Linked DNA regions of Caenorhabditis elegans. The protein of the gene in region 2 interacts with the protein of the main gene of each other region in a pairwise test. Each region holds a gene or a part of one and is shown on either strand. Other genes may lie near its edges. The genes, in order: ubxn-1 and C25E10.8.

What was found.
Region 1: the proteins of C25E10.8 (region 2) and ubxn-1 interact in a two-hybrid assay, tested with the Caenorhabditis elegans proteins (one large-scale study listed by BioGRID).

What each region holds. Positions count from the first base shown.
Region 1 is NC_003279.8:2,430,468-2,439,006, reverse strand, and holds ubxn-1 (UBX domain-containing protein 1), read right to left. Parts: upstream 5,006-8,539; 5' UTR 4,997-5,005; coding exon 4,785-4,996; intron 4,728-4,784; coding exon 4,455-4,727; intron 4,403-4,454; coding exon 4,156-4,402; intron 4,115-4,155; coding exon 3,991-4,114; intron 3,476-3,990; coding exon 3,432-3,475; 3' UTR 3,316-3,431; downstream 1-3,315. Other genes in the region: F23C8.3 (Phage protein), read right to left, coding at 85-192; F23C8.14 (Lon proteolytic domain-containing protein), read left to right, coding at 1,923-2,015, 2,323-2,457; tipn-1 (Protein TIPIN homolog), read left to right, coding at 5,398-5,476, 5,528-5,595, 5,644-5,748, 5,792-6,053, 6,110-6,297; F23C8.8 (Protein kinase domain-containing protein), read left to right, coding at 6,426-6,472, 6,894-7,210, 7,288-7,592. UniProt on the Caenorhabditis elegans protein: Ubiquitin-binding protein which acts as an adapter for ATPase cdc-48.1 and/or cdc-48.2, conferring substrate specificity.
Region 2 is NC_003283.11:9,050,018-9,057,779, forward strand, and holds C25E10.8 (TIL domain-containing protein), read right to left. Parts: upstream 4,053-7,762; 5' UTR 3,916-4,052; coding exon 3,913-3,915; intron 3,864-3,912; coding exon 3,812-3,863; intron 3,749-3,811; coding exon 3,678-3,748; intron 3,633-3,677; coding exon 3,345-3,632; 3' UTR 3,245-3,344; downstream 1-3,244. Other genes in the region: spi-3 (TIL domain-containing protein), read right to left, coding at 109-429, 846-995, 1,053-1,055; Serine protease inhibitor swm-1, read right to left, coding at 4,251-4,535, 4,586-4,656, 4,717-4,765, 4,813-4,815; C25E10.10 (TIL domain-containing protein), read right to left, coding at 5,459-5,574, 5,675-5,771, 5,817-5,902, 5,952-6,028, 6,071-6,143, 6,189-6,246, 6,299-6,301; C25E10.11 (INSulin related), read right to left, coding at 7,632-7,762.

The DNA.
Region 1 (8,539 bases), on a different chromosome or scaffold from region 2:
AGAAAATGTGTACACACCCCAAAGAAGCTGTGTTTTTTTTCCAAAATCCTGCAAGTGGCAGTGAAATTTAATAACAAAACTAACTTGTTGTTCACTCATCCGCTTCACGCATTTCACATTCAGATTATCTGCATTGGGGAAAATTCCACGAAAGTAGTTGAGGAAAATAGCTTCATACTGGTTGCCGTCCATTATCATATGTTTCCAGAAAATATTGTAAATTGTGTGACATACAAAAAGCTGCAATTGAGAAAGTTTTTCAGTCAGACTGTTTGTTAAATTGATGATAAAACGATAATCTGTACTCAAACTGGAATTTGTCAAATCAAAGTAAATTTTTATAGACCTTGAAACTGTAAATAGCAAACCGAAAATATGTTCTGAAAATAGGCTCCGCCCCCACGTGAACTTTTTGCGTTTTTCATTCAAATTTTCTCGAACTTCCTCGAATTTTTTCGCAGTTTCCCTTTATATCATAACGAACCGTGGACCGCACCTCCAGCGCGGCCCCCGATTTCTGGGGCTGAAAACTACTTTTCTGAAACTACCGTAATCTTACAGTACTACTATATCCCTACACTTACCCCAACTCACTATCCAGAAGCCAAAACTTCACAGACTACAAAGACTACATAAACTACAAACTATGGACAAACGGAATAAGCGCTTTAAATATAGTAAATCATAGGGGTTATTCAAGTAGTGTCGTAAAATTAGAAAGTGCATTTCAATACCTCTTTTGCCTTATTCAAGTAACTTCAAAAACATGTATTTAAATGCAGTTTGTGACGTAATTTCGCGGCATTTCTCTGCATTTCTCGACATTATCCGACAACCAAAAATTTCTGATAAAACAACTGTGGAAAAATGTCGAGAAACGTGGGAAAATTTTGCGAAATGACGCCACAAACTTTATTGAGATACATGCTTTTATTGTTACTTGAATAAGGAAAAAAGTGTATTGAAATACACTTTTTAGTTTCACGACACTACTTGAATAACGCGATGGAATGAGTTTTCTATTGCTTGATTGTTTTTTTCAATTGTAGCTAGTAAAATTAAAAAATAACAATATCATAGACAAAGGGAAGAGCAACCCAGTTTTGAAAAAAAAATCATAAGATAAAAATGACCCGACATAGCATATTTTTATAATAGCTCAAAATCTCATCTCAAACAGAGCTAATGTTTCAAAATAATGTTTTGCAAAAATAAGTGAAAGAAGTGAAAAAAAATTCGAAAAGTTAACATGTTTGACACAGTTATGATTAGTCGGTGTTGTATCCTTCAGAACTAAATCCGTACTGACAAAGGCAGTTTAACCTTCGGAGAAATAGGGAGAGACGTAGAAGCGCAGTGTGCGTGAGTAAGAGATTGTTGTGAGTGAGGAGGAGACATATATTTTTTGCTGGTCATTGGGAGGTTACATGAAAGACGGTTTGAGCTCGGTCTACCCTAATCAGGCCCTGGGCTGGGTCTTTCGAAAACCAACAAATACCTACCAAAAAAAAGGTGTTGTAACAAAAAACTACCAGGCTAAATGTTATGAAACTCACCACAGTCGTAGATCTTAACCCACAAAATCAGACAACAACTTCCGGTTAAATTTTTCTTGTGACAGAATTTCAGTGCAACAACTTTTTTCGTTTTTATTTATTTTATTTTTTTGGTTTCAAGAAAACCAAACAAACTTTTTTTTAGGAGTTTGCAAGAGATTATACCATATGTACTTCTGAATGAAAAATTATTCTTGATAACACGAGTTTCTAAAATTTGAAAAAATTGATATGCAGCGAAAAAAATTACGAATTTTGACCTTTTTTATTCACCTCATTCCTACATTTGAGTGATAATTATGCACGCAACCCTGAAATGACAGCAGAAAAATCTTCTACCTCTTCGTTTGCAACGATCTCTCACACATGCACACTATGCATTTCTACGTCTCTCATTATTTCTCGGAAATCGACTATTTGAATATTTTTCCGATTTCTTTCAGAAGTAGCCTTAAAGAAGTACATTTTAAAAAAATGAAGGGCGTTAAAAATTATGAAAACGCTTTTCTCCACTATTGCCCATACAGAGAGTGTAGTCAATTGTAGAGAGATAGACATCCCGGGACCCAAGAGGCAGGTCGGGGGAAGAGTAAAAAATTGTAAATCGATACAAACCGTTTCTTCCCTCCACTTTGGGTCTCGAGGTGTCTGTGTTTCTTCAACTTTTTGTTTTTAATTTCGTAGCTAGAAGTTTAGAACACTTTTAAATAGTACAGATTTTCATTCATGTGTTTGAAAAACTAGTACAACCCGAGCATATTTTCAGGTTGGCAATATCGTGGTAAGAACGCGTGCAGCATTTGCAAGAAATCTGAGAGTTATCATGCCAACGGGAAACATGGATGAACTGCCATCAGATTTGCGAGATCCAGCCAGAGTTTTTGGGGTTGGCACATTTTAAGAAGCTATCGAAGTGATCAAGAAATTAGCTAGAGAGAATCAGAACTGCTAGAAATTTCAATAAACTTGAATTTTGAATTTTTGTGTTTTTGTACTTTTGTTGTTGAAAAAATTAAGGAAAACCTGATGGAAAAACGAGAATGGCTGGACTTATAGTGCGAAATATTTCCTCGCAACTTTCTACTGTATCATTGAAAAATAACAACAAGTTTGGAATTTAATTATATCTCGAAGCGAAAACTACAGTAATTCTTTAAATGACTACTGTAGCGCTCTTGTGTCGATTTACGGGCTCGTGTATTTCTCGATAGAATATTAAATTAGAGGCCCCACCAAAACAGAATGCAACTCAAAACAGGATTCACCAAAACAGGATGCAAGGGCGGAGCCTATTTCGCAACAACCGCGCATGCTTTTCCCGCAAGCCTCGCACGTTTTTTCCTTGATGTTGTTGCATTTTTTAAAGAGAAAAAACGTGCGAGGCTTGCGGAAAAAGCATGCGGTGGTTGCGAAATAGGCTCCGCCCCTGTATCCTGTTTTGAGTTGCATTCCGTTTTGGTGGGGCCTCTTAAATTAAATCGAAAAGAAAATCTGAGCCCGTAAATCGACCTACAGTAATCATTTAAAGAATTACTGCAGTTTTCGCTGCGAGATATTTTGCGCGTCAAATATGTTGTGCAGTACGCAGGTTTTTATTCCAATATCTTCCAGGTTCTAATGCTTCCAATCACTCTGGAGATATGATTGTCCTGCAGCTTGTCAGAAATCTGTGGCAAGAGCTCGGAGAGCAAAACTGACGGGAATTCGAAGATCACGAGGAGATGAAGAGCCTCGAGATATATGGAGGGGAAAAAAGTTTATCGGAAAATTTTTATACATGCTCAATATACATGTTTAGTTTACAAGTGATACCAGCATTCGGGAGAGGGGGGAGAGAAAATTAGCAGTAAATTGTGGGAATTTAGTTTTGAAGATTCAGGCGGCACGGTTGAGAATGACGTTGGCGGATGGTACCAAATCTGAAAATTTTAAAAAAAAATTAGAGAATGAACATTTTTTTGGTCTCAAAAAACCAAAATTCATAACGAAACTTTTCAAATTTTTATTTATTTTTTTCGAAAAAATGGCCCAATTACAGCAGAAATCTATATATTTTAGCGTTTTTTTCGTTGATTTAGGCACATTTAAAGTCAAATTGCACCATACTGCTCCAATATTTAAAAATTAGTGTCAAAATATAGAAAATCAGTTGATTTTTCTGAAAATAATACTTAATTTAACTGAAAAATTCGAAAGTGCTCAAAAATTGCCTTACAATTGACAATTCGTGACTTCTAGGCCATTTTTGAGCACTTTTTCAGATTCTTCAGTTAAATTGAGTCTTTTTGCTGAAGAAGGACAAAAATCGAATAAAAATAAATTTCCGGCAGCTGTGAACAGGAAAAGTTGGCGAAATAGCTGAAAATCGTCCACTTTTTTTTTCGAAAATTTCCAAGTTTCATCATGAAATCCGGCCTTTTTGAGCAAAACTCACTGAGAACTTTGAGCGGTGTTCCCATATCATCCTCGGTGAACACTTTGCGGGGGAATGGGGTCATCAGGGTGAACGGAACACCGTTTGCGTGATTAGTTTCGACCCAGGCGCGGACCATTGCGAGCTGAAAAATTAATTCAAGGGAGTCGAGAATATTTAAATTACCGGCTCATTAGCTTCAAACTGTTGTCTAACAGTTTGTCCATCGAGAAGTCGGAATTGAAGAGTTGTAGTTGAGTAGTCTTTTGGCGGAGCAACTGGAGCTGCAGACGGAGCAGGCTTTGCCTCTGGAACCGGTTGGCCTGAAGCTTTTGCCTTACGGGCTTCCTTGTCAAGCCGGATTTGCTCGAGAACTCGTTTTCTGGCGATTTCGTCTTCGTTCTTTTCGCGGCGACGATCTTGAGCGGCTTCTCTGCAAATTGGGAATATTATTATTTAAATTCAATGGAAAACAGTTTTCTAACCGAATTTCACGATCTCTGGCGGCTTCTTTATGGCTGATCATGGCTTTTCCATCCTCACGACGCTTTTTCTCCTTCTCACGATTCTCTTCGGCCTCGAGCTTTGCCTTTTTGGCCTGATGGACTTTGATTTTTTCTCGGATTTCCAGGACTTTTGCGGCCTTTTCCTCTGCAGTGAGAGGCTTGATAGCTTCCGAGCTTTCGCTGAAATTCTCGTGCTTTGTCTTCGAAGCGTGGAACATGATAGCATCATCGTTGGCGAGAAGCTTTCCGCAGCTGGAAAAAAAAATTTGGAGAAATAATTAATAAGAATCGTAGGGGGGAAAAACTCACTCATCACACTTAAAACTGGCGGCTACCGGGGGTGCACCACTGTCAGCGGCTCCTGGAGCAGCTTGAGCTGGAGCATCTGTCTCCATTGGTACACCGGCTCCGTCCTTCTCAATCCAATCCAACGCCTGATCGAGATTTCTGTTGTTTCCGGCGGCGGCCTCGGCTTTGTCGGCTGGGAAGCCCATATCCATGAGTTGTTGGGCGATCGACATTGTTATTCTGGAAAGAAATGCGACAATTTGGCGAAAAACTAGATTTTTTCTCATTTTCCAGAAGAATTTTGGGATTTTTTACGAAATAAGCTGTTCAAAACAGTGATATATTAACAATAAAGTGGTTTAATTAATAAAAAACCTTAAGAAATGCGTTTAAATCAGAAAATTCAGATAATAAATGGACTGGAACACTTTTTCTAGCCAAGAACACAAAGAGAATGCTGACTTTCTTTAAAGGCGCACGCATTTAATCGATCGGGTCTCGACGCGATTCAGCCGATTTTGTCGGCGCGTTGTTTGAAAATAGTTTTTTAAACGCTAAGATTTTTGCATTTTTTTTCGTTTTCTGCACGAAAACCTAGAAATTTCGATCGAAAATCAACTTTTTTTCCAGAAAAATGGACGAAATGGAAGATTTCTTCGAAAATGATGAATTGGATCGAGAGCCAAGCCCTATGGGAGACGAAGCAATCGAAGGTATCTAGAATTTCGTGTGAGAAATCGGGTTTTAATTAAAGTTTTGTTCAGATAACAGCGGCGAGGGAGGCACTAGACGAGTCGTGGAGCCGAAATTGTTAAGGACTAAAAGACTAGCAGTAAAACGCTTATTTTCTATGATTTATTTAAATTTTTTCAAACTTTAGAATCCACGCCTAGCACTGAATGAGCGAATTTTGACCGGGCCGAAAGGAATTTCAGCTCTTCGGGAGACTTTAAAAGATTTCAAGCCAAATCCCAAGGATGATCCGGTAAATTTGAAAGTTAAAAAATACAATAATTTTCCCTTTTCAGTACGCAAATCTGGAGAAATTGATGAAAAAATACGCATACTGGGGACATTTGATGTTTCCGAAGATGAAAACCGAAGATGTTCTGAATCGAGTCGAGACACTGGGAACACGGCGGCAGGTTAAAGTTTTCATGATCAAGCACCGGCTTGGAGAGACTGGCGAGGATTCTGAGCACGAGGAGCAGGAGAATCAAAAGAATGGAATTATTGATGATGGAGCGAGTGATAATGACGATGATTTATTCAAGGATTTACCAGAGAAAGGTTGCAAAATTTATCCAAACTTGTTATTAGAAAATCAAAAAATCTTTCAATTTCAGAAGTCACGACTGAAAAAGCTAAAAATTCTGAAAAATCCGACCAAAAAACCGCTGAAATTGATGAAAATGTCGAGGAAGAGTATCGAATGATGGAGGAAGAGCGGCTGCGAGAGGAACAGGAAGCCAAGGAAGCTGCTGACGAAGATGCTCTTATGGAAGATTTCGGTGATATGAATAACGATTGGTGATAGAGCAATTAATTTTTTTTAATTTCACGTGTATTTTATATTTTTATGAACTTTTCTTTGTTCTCGAATTTTCCAAAGCGTGAGACCTTTTTTTTATCGAATAAAACTACATTCCTTATTGTTATGACATGTCAACGCCAACACTCTCTCCGTCTACAGAAAAGTTGATTCCGATGTGAGTTTCTGGAGGTCAAAAATTCGAGTTTTTCTTGATTTTCGCCGTTTTTCCAACGAATATTCTCAAAATATTGGAATTCCGCGGAAGAAAAATCAGGAAAAATTGCGAAATCGGCAAAAATTTCCACCGTACCCCTTTAAAAGCGCACGGCTCGCTTTAAAAAGTAACAATCGTGCCAGGACCTTTGAGTGAAATGAGGAGTGCGCCTTTAAGAAAGTACGGTCTTTTTCAGATTATTTCGCAATTTTTCCGGGTTTCCTGTTATTTTTCGAAAGAGAATCGAAATTTAATTAGAAAATCTGATTGTGAAATTGATTGCAAAAGACACAGTAATCGCCTAAAGGCGCATGGGCTTTCTGCTCCCTCAGAAAAACTTTACAGGCCTAGTTTGAGACTAAAAACCTTTGAATTTCTGTAGAATTGGACTAAGCGTGTCTGGAACATTCTCACCTCGTCCAATTGCCACCACCGCTCACTCGGTTGTCTTCAAAGTGGATTCGCAGCTTTATCGTCGAGAAGTGATTGTGAAAATCGTGGATCGAAAATCGATTCCGGCAAACGTGGCGGAGAAATTCTTCCCGCGCGAATTGGAGATCACCATGAAGGTTCGACATCCACATATTGCGCGGTGCCTGGCGATCACACGACCAGCGCCGACGAAATTCGTGATTATTTCGGATTACTATGAACGTGGCACACTTCTCGAGTGGATTCTCCAGAAGAAACGTTTGAAAGGTGAGGGTGTGGTGAAACACGTGCTCGCTGGCTGTCTCTTTGCATAATCTCGGCCACGTTGAAACATTTTATTCCAGAGCACCCATTAGCAGCCACACTATTCCGTCAACTCATCGAAGCGATCAATTATCTTCACAAAAGAGGAATAGTACATCGAGATGTGAAATTGGAAAATATTCTAATCGACGGAAATGGGGATATTAAGCTCATCGATTTCGGATTTGCAAGACACATTGAACGACGTGAACGGTCTCGATCATTCTGTGGAACTCAGCCCTACACATGCCCGCAAATCACAAAATATCGGCCTTATGAAGCCTACGCGGCGGACTATTATGCTTGTGGAATAGTGCTTTTTACGATGGTCACTGGAAAATGGCCGGTGCGTTGGGTTGTACATCTTCGCCTTGGCAGTTTGTTTACAAGACGTGTTGCATCGATAATGAGTTCAACTTTGGACGCTCATATCTCGATTTTCTTTGCAGTTATTAAAAAATTGTCAACTGACAGAATAATAAGCATACAATTTTCTATAATTTTGTAGTTGAAAATTTTTTTATAACTACAAAATGAACGGAGATATGGAATTCCAAAGTATAGTGAAGCACATGGTGCATCGATAACAAGTAGCACACTCAACTTTGAAAGCTCATTTCTCAATTTTCTTTGCAGTTATCAAAAACCCGTCAACTAGCAAAATATTAAAATATTGCGCATATGATTTTCTATAGTTTTGTAATTTATAAGTTTTTGATAGCTATAAAATTCACCGAGATATGGGCGGTCAAAAGTGATTTAGCCTCATGGTGCATCTACAAAATGGGTTTACTCAACTTTGAAAGCTTATATCTCGGATGTCATTGCAGTTATCAAAAAACTGTCAACTGAGAAAATGTTGAACATTTAATTTTCTATAGATTTGTAGTTGAAAATTTTTTGATAGCTACAAAATAAACCGAGATATTGACTGTCAAAGACATGGTGCATCAACCGAGTGAGGTCTCTCAACTTTGAAAGCTCATATCTCGGATGTCATTGCAGTTATCAAAAAACTGTCAACTGAGAAAATGTTGAACATTTAATTTTCTATAGATTTGTAGTTGAAAATTTTTTGATAGCTACAAAATAAACCGAGATATTGACTGTCAAAGACATGGTGCATCAACCGAGTGAGGTCTCTCAACTTTGAAAGCTCATATCTCGGATTTCATTGCAGTTATCAAAAAACTGTCAACTGACGAAATATTAAGCATGTTGATTTCTATAGATGTGTTGTTAAAAAGTTTTTGACAGCTACGAAATGAACCGAAGTATAGGCTTTCAAAGACA
Region 2 (7,762 bases):
GAACAATTGTTCTTAGCCTTGAGATTAGCTCAAATAAATTTGAATGTGACACACGAGAGAGATAATGACATGAAAAATGTATGACAATCAATAACAAAAAAAAAACAACTACAACGTGAAAAGCTCCAAAGGCCGAGCCGGAGAATTGTCACATTCATCTAAACTTGTACAGGTTCCACTATTCCTGACCAATCCTGGAAGGCATCGGCAGACATTCCGGATGCATCGATCATGTTCACAAGATGTTGGGTACGGGTCATCACAAGTTGGTTGACAAAGTGTTCCACAAGTCTGGAATACTTCATCTTCTGGACATCTGGATGTTTCTGCAGTGCATTCAAGTCGACGGACACAATCATTTTTTGTGTTCCTCACGTAGCCATCCTTACAAACACAAGCGTTCGGTTTACACTCCAAACTGCATACAGTCTGAAAATAAATGTTCCTCTCGTGGTTTTAGTTTGGTTTGACTTTCTGATTTTTTCGTTTCGACTGTCTGATGTTTGAAAATTTTGGATTCTACAAAAAAATTATTCAAAAACTGTTATTGTCCGTTTCCAAGATAATCTTTTCTTCAAACTGTACCCAATATTGAGAATAGTGTGGTTTAACGGCCGCTTCTCATTCATCATTCTCAGTTGGTATATATATATAGAAAACGCTTCTGAATGACTTCATAAAGTTTTCAATATAAAAGCAAAATTTTTATAATATCTATAATAGTGTCTATCTGAAAAAAGGAACGGCAAAACAGTTTTATTCCTAACCTTTGACAGTAATACCTCAAATGAAAAAAAGCAGAACCAAAACGTTCCTGCTATTTTAGAATTGAAAAGATAACTTACTGGATCAAATCCGCATTGTGGTTCACAATCATAACCACAAGCCACTCGTTTTTGGTTTTTCCCACATTCTGGTAAAAACGGGGCTCCTGGTGTGATCCATTGTGTGGCTGATCCCATGCTTAAGTAAAAGCTGAGAAATAAGAAAGTCTTCTGAAAAGTAATACTCGGATGAATAACACATGCTTTAACTATGTAATGCAGGCTTACCATTGTTATTTGCAGATTTTCCGTGTTGGACAATGAACAGACTGAAAAGTGAACGACGGAGAACTCTGAGCGAATATTTGGGCGGTCTCAAGTAGTTACCGGAAGAGTGAAAAAGACGTTCTTTAATATATAATTATAAATGGAAATCAGCCAGAAATGAAATGATAATGACAAGGTTTTCATTTGAAACGAGAGGGAAAAGATATTCAAGAATTGGAAATTTAGAATGAGTTTCAGCCACATCTCATAACTTCACACATTCATTATGTTTGTTTGAAAAGTCACAAAGTTATAATGAAAATGAACATTTATTTATTAAGACACCAATACTGGCTAAAGAAGAAACTAAATTCTATTTCCCTTTTGCCAAAGGTATTTTTGAAAACACTGAATTTGATTCTAAGAACAGAAGTACTGTAAAGAAATGATAAAAGGTATGGCTTAGAATAAAATTGCATTATCTGAATACTGAATATGTGATGTTAAGCTTTCAGTACAGAACAACTTTTTTTATTGAAAAAAATGTAAAAATAACTTTATTGATAAAACCGTTTCCAAAACTGAGCTTATATACCAGTCAAACGGGAAAACTTTAGTTTAAAAAATACCTAGAAACTAGACAGGTGAATTGCGTTCAAAAATCATATATGATCTGCTAAATGTCAGCATAAAATGGATTCCTTGAAAAGTAATTTAGTAAAATCGTACCGGAATTCAGTGAAAAGTGATACAAGTTCGGAAGACAAAACGGGTCTCAATAATTTAGATGTGCAAAAAGCTTATTGACGTAAATTTTATGTATAATTATGGAAAGTACGTAATACTTTTTTGGTAACGCAGAATATCGAATAAATCTGCTCATGAAATTTTCTAACTTCGAAGTAAGTGCATTCTTAAAATCAAAGTTTTGATTCGATTTTTTTGGCAGAAAGGTATAACTCAAAAGTCCCGAAACAAAAAATATACATTTTGTTAACGGGCTTAAACAGACGCAGTTATTTAACTTCATAGTTCAATTCAAAAATGACGGCGGTCTCGAAAAAAAATTTGAGCCTCTCACTTTTTTGCATCATCGAAAATCTATTTCCTTTTGCGCATCGGTAGGTGTGAAATTTGAAGCGTCATTGAAAAGGTCAAGTTAAACGTTTTTTTGGCATTTCAAATAGTATAGACCTAAACGTATATATTATATTTGAATTCGTTTCATTTTTGAAGTAATATTGTAGTGAACTATAATATTGAGACATTCAGTTACGCACTATGTTTTGTCATACTTATTTCTTAGTATATGCATTTGATACAAAATACAAACTCGGAGGTTCAAAATTGTAGACTCGAGCATTGTCAGATGTGTATTTCAATAATTAACGTGTTTATAAATAATGAGCGAAATACTATGACGGCATGAAAACGTCATGTGTTTAAATAGAAAAACTAACAAAGGCGTCGAAAGTCAAAAGTTTCAAAAATATAAAGTAAAGGGAAAAATTAATTTCCTATAACTTTTGCCAAATTTTTTCTGGGACAAATGATATTGTGCAGAAATTGGCAGAACCTTTCTGACGCGTACCTATTGGTATTTATGAATGTGATTATTTTTATGTTTACGAGGTAGAAAACAATTGCAAATGCTCACGTAAAATAGCGTAGTCTTTCATTTTCCAGAATGTGCCTGGAAAAAACGCTGCTGTAAAAGAATCGTGATTTTTGAATTAAAAAGTTTTAAGCGTCTACGACATTTTCTAACCTAGACATTACAAAAGAATGATTGATCTTTTTTTGAATAATTTCCTTGCTTAAGTTTCTTATTTGTTTTTTGTGTGTATGTTCCTATATTAAGAAACCAAGTAGGGGATGAGCTCAGCTCTGCCACACGGTTAAATTTTTTAACGCATTTTTTAACGAATTTTTTTTCCAAAAAAATATATGATGCCAACATTTAAACTGTCTGTTTTTGTCGCTTTTGGAATGTTTATGAAACAACAATTGCCAATCCTAAAAAAAGTTTTGTGTGTAGCATCGAACCTATAAGACCAAATGAAATTCAATACTCTAGTGAGGTAATCTGTACCCAAAAACGAAAACTTTGTGTACTCCGATCGGACACAGTTTTCCATCGGAATGATATCACGATCACGGCATTGTTTGTGTTTTGTTCCAAAAAAGAAATATAAATTCGTTTCCATTTTTCCAGTTCATGGTAACCGAATGTTATTCTATTTGGCAATTTGTTGGTTTTTCTCAGAATATGAAATTCAACGATTTATTATCACAAATGTGAATACAAAATGTTCACTTTGGGCACTCCTTGAGTTCGGTGCATCTGTAACCGTTTCGGACAAAACCACTGGAACACTGGCAAACATTTACAATGCATTGTCTGGTACATGGTCTTGGTCCTGGTTTTTCACAAGTTGGCTCACAAGCGGTTCCGCATCGGAAGAATGTCTCATTTTCCGGACATTTGCTAGTTTCCTTGGTACAGGTGGAAATATCGACACATTTTCCAAGTGAATTACGCACAAATCCTTTCTTGCAGTCGCATGCGTTTTCAATACATTGAGCAGATAGACACACTTTCTGAAAATTAAATATTATAGGAGAACATGGAAAATTATAGATTACTGGAGTGTATCCGCATTGTGTCTCACAGTGATCATGGCATGCAACCATTTCCTCGTTGGCTCCACATGTCTCTGAAAAGTAAAATGTTTATTTTCCAGAAATATTTAACAATAATCATTTAAAAATAAACTTACTATTGGCAGCTGTCGCAGCAGCAATAAAACAGGCAATTATGACAAAAGTTCTCTAAAAACTCATTAGTTTTTGCATTGCTCTAATGAAAAAAAGAACGAACCATCACAGAAAGAAAAGTAATGCAGCAGTCTGATGTTTTCTTTTGAAATGACTCTATTTATTGTTCGAGAACACTAAATCACGCAGAGGACTCTAGTCTATCAAAACCGCCCTTTTGTTTGCCAGAGACATAGACATTGAAAAAAAACGATGACCAATAAATCCAAAAGATCAAACAGAGTTTTTTTTAGTTTTTCATGCCAGGAAAAATAATACTGATGTAACAATTGTGTTATCAATAATAGCACACAACTCCAGTTTCCTTCATCACACTTCTTTTTGAATTTTTTCCAATATTTGATGGTTTATTGAACTTGGAAATGTTTACTCAAAAACAAATTATTTTGGACAATCTTTCTTATCAATGCATCTGAGTCCATGACGAACGAAACCTTTGGAGCATTGGCAGACATTGACGATACATTGTTTAGTGCAAACTGTTGGATTTGGTTTCTCACAAGTTGCTTCACAAGCTGTTCCACAGCCAAAGAATGTCTCATTTTCTGGGCATTTTGTAGTTTCCTTGGTGCATTCAGATACTTCGACGCATTTTCCAAGAGAATTACGAACAAATCCGTCTTTACAGTCACATGTGTTCATGATACATTGCTCCGTGCAAGCTTTCTAAATTTTGAAACTTTCAGTAATGGGAGACACATTAAGTTAATTGTTACAGGGGTATATCCACATTGTGGTTCACATGTATTATGGCACGATACCAGCTCCTCATTGGCTTCACATGTTTCTAAAAAAATATTTATGATCTGGTAACCGTTCAAGTACCAAATCACATATATTTACTTACTTGTGGCGGTAGCAACAGCAACGATGCATGTGATTATGACAAGTATCCTCTGTAAGTGTATAATTTTTATATTAGAAAAAAAACTCAAAAACTCACCATTTTCACAATAACGAAGGGCAACCAACCGATGTTTTGCTTTTTAACGGCTCTATTTATTGTGCCGGAACACTAAAAAACGGCAGAACCGCCCTTTTTTTCGGAAGGGATGATACGAGAAACATGATAAGATCGAATGGGAGATATTATAGGTCTTCTCAATCTTTTGGAGAGAAATTTATCTTTCACCGGTCACGTATTTATTTTGTAAATTGGGCTCACAACAAAGGTTTAAAAATCTCGAAGAATTTGTATTCGAAAATTCAGAAAAAATCAGAAACACATTAAATCGAGAACCTTACGAAATTTCATTCCGACCAATGATTTTAATGAATCAATTCACTAGAAGATATCAATTTAAAACGTATCGCTTGGTGCAAATAGTTTTGGCTTGGCTCACTGGAGAGTATTTCGAATGTGTTTCATCCATAATTACCAACTTAACATTGTTTGGTTAACACTGACTTTTTGTATTCATTGTATTGCAACACGGAATAGTTCATAAGTTTTTTGGCTATTGAAAAGGAATACAAATATTATGTTAAAATTCGAATATTGTTATTTTTAAATTTTCTGAAAACATTAGCATGAAAACATCAATATTAAAATATGAGAAAAACAACTTTTTTTTTAATCATCGAAAATATTATTCAGTGGTATGTTGTGCAACACATACGTCCACAATTTGGCATGGTTTCTCCTCACAAGTCAGCTCCACAAGTTCACATTTTTCGTTCTCAGAGCATTCAAGAGTGCATTTGCCTGAATGAAAAATTTATGACTAGTATTATGTGCAGGTTTTCAGCGAATAATCACTGATGGTTAAATTGGTTAAAGTCTAGTAATAAATTTTGAAGCTTACTGCATTTATTTTTCTCCACACATTTTCCAGTTGCCGAGTCTCTGACGAGTCCTTTCTTACACTGGCAGACGTTTGTCATACACACCAAATCACATTCCTGAGAAACAATTTATGATCATACATAATCTCAACGTTGATTTACTGGATTCTCGTTATCACATGTCGGTTCACACGCTGAGCCACACGCCTTGAGCTCTTCATCGCCCTCACATTCCGGTTTGCGGATTGCTGGAAGTTTCCAAGAACCACTGGATATTTTTGGTTTCACTACACTTACGGATTGGCACGCACTTTGGATCAACTGAACAATCGTCTTCAGAACCACATTCCAAGTCACTGACTGGCAGTTCGCATCTGAAAAAATATTTTAAAATTTATAATTGGAAATATTAAAACCTATAATTATCAGGACATTTGATAGAACCACAGAGTGCGTCTGTGTGAGAAATGGGCATGTTTTCTGTGTTTTCTGAAAATAAGTCATTTGATTTTTAAATAAAACCTTGGTACTCACTAAGAACTCCAGATCTAGCAAAAGCAAGAAGAGCAAAGAAAATAAATAATTGAAAATTCTGAAAAAACACACTTTCATTTGTTGTAAGATATGAAGAAAAAACCACTCACCATTTTGATGAAAGAATTTCTGAAGAAACTTTCGGAGTGGGGAAGTTATGAGAAGGAAGCAATCATTGAAATAAAATTGACAGGCGTGAGACCGAGGATGAGTCAAAAGATTAATGACTTGGTGAGACCGGAGAGAGTTCAGCCGACCGGAATATTTCTTGAGTGCTGTTTTTTTAAGTTTAAAAATATGTTATTTACAAAATTACTTTCTACGAAAGTACGCCTGAGAAGAACAAAGAAGTAACTGTTTTCGGTTTTTGCTTGAATAGACTCAAAATGCGCCCTAGGCAAAATTTTGGTAATGAGAAATCTCAAAAATTATGCAATTTTTTTGAGAAGTCTTATTATGAAAGTTGCCCATTTGAGTATTTTTATTATATACAAGCAAAAACTCAAGACTGTTGGAACAGAAGATTAACTGCTGGGATGGGCTTTGAATATATTCAAAATAGCTCCAAAAGCCAGAAACTTCATAAAAATAACTCGCAAAAATACTCAAAAACTGTGTACAGCCGTTCAAAAATTTTTAACGTTGTTTCCAAATTGTGAAAAAAATAGTAAAAGAAACAAACAATAAATATTTTGTCAGCTAACAATCTTTGTTTAGAACAAACGACAATTGAGATACGCTGATCAGCTGCCAAAGTCGAACAATAGGTGTGATTCTAATAGATAAAACACGGTACTTTCCAGTTCCAATAATTCCAATACCCCTAAATCTAATTCATTTATGAGAAGTCTCCTATTGAAAATTGATAATTTTAAACACGTTTATGTGGTTAGTTTGCTCTCAAAACAGTTTGCTCCGTCGAAAATTTTTTAAAAGAAGCTTTCAGATAATAACTTTTTGATTATTCAAGTACAAGTTTTGGCAAGTCTACAAACTTCTTGACAATTCCCTCAAGCTTATATATAAAAACTTTGGCATTGTTTGTTAGAAATCGTTTGGTTATTCTGACATTTGAAAATTGATTTATTACACTGTATGAAATTCACAAAATTCCATCACAGTGTCGATTTTTTTAGCAAAATACAATTTGAATGATCTCTTGGATTGCTTCCTTCTGGACATGCAAAAATCTTGCAAGCGGGGCCAACAGGACATGGCTTGTTAATACATGGAATAGGCACAGGAATACATATGGATTGACCGTAACATGTTACAAAGTCACATGCATCTGGTAGTTGTGAATGTGAATATTTAGCCAGAAATATAAAATAACAGAACAGAAAAAGTAACTTCATTTCTATAAACTGAAGTGAATGAAAACAATCAAAAAGGAAAACATGGGAAAATGCATTGCGTGACTACGAAAAATAAAAGGAAATGTGCCTAACGAGAAGAAGTATAATTGAATTTTCTGTCTTGATAGTCCTCGAAAGATTTATCCGAGCAAATTGCCATCAACGGATCACATGTTTTATTTGGAAGACATTCTACTTTTGCAACTTTGCAAACTGTCT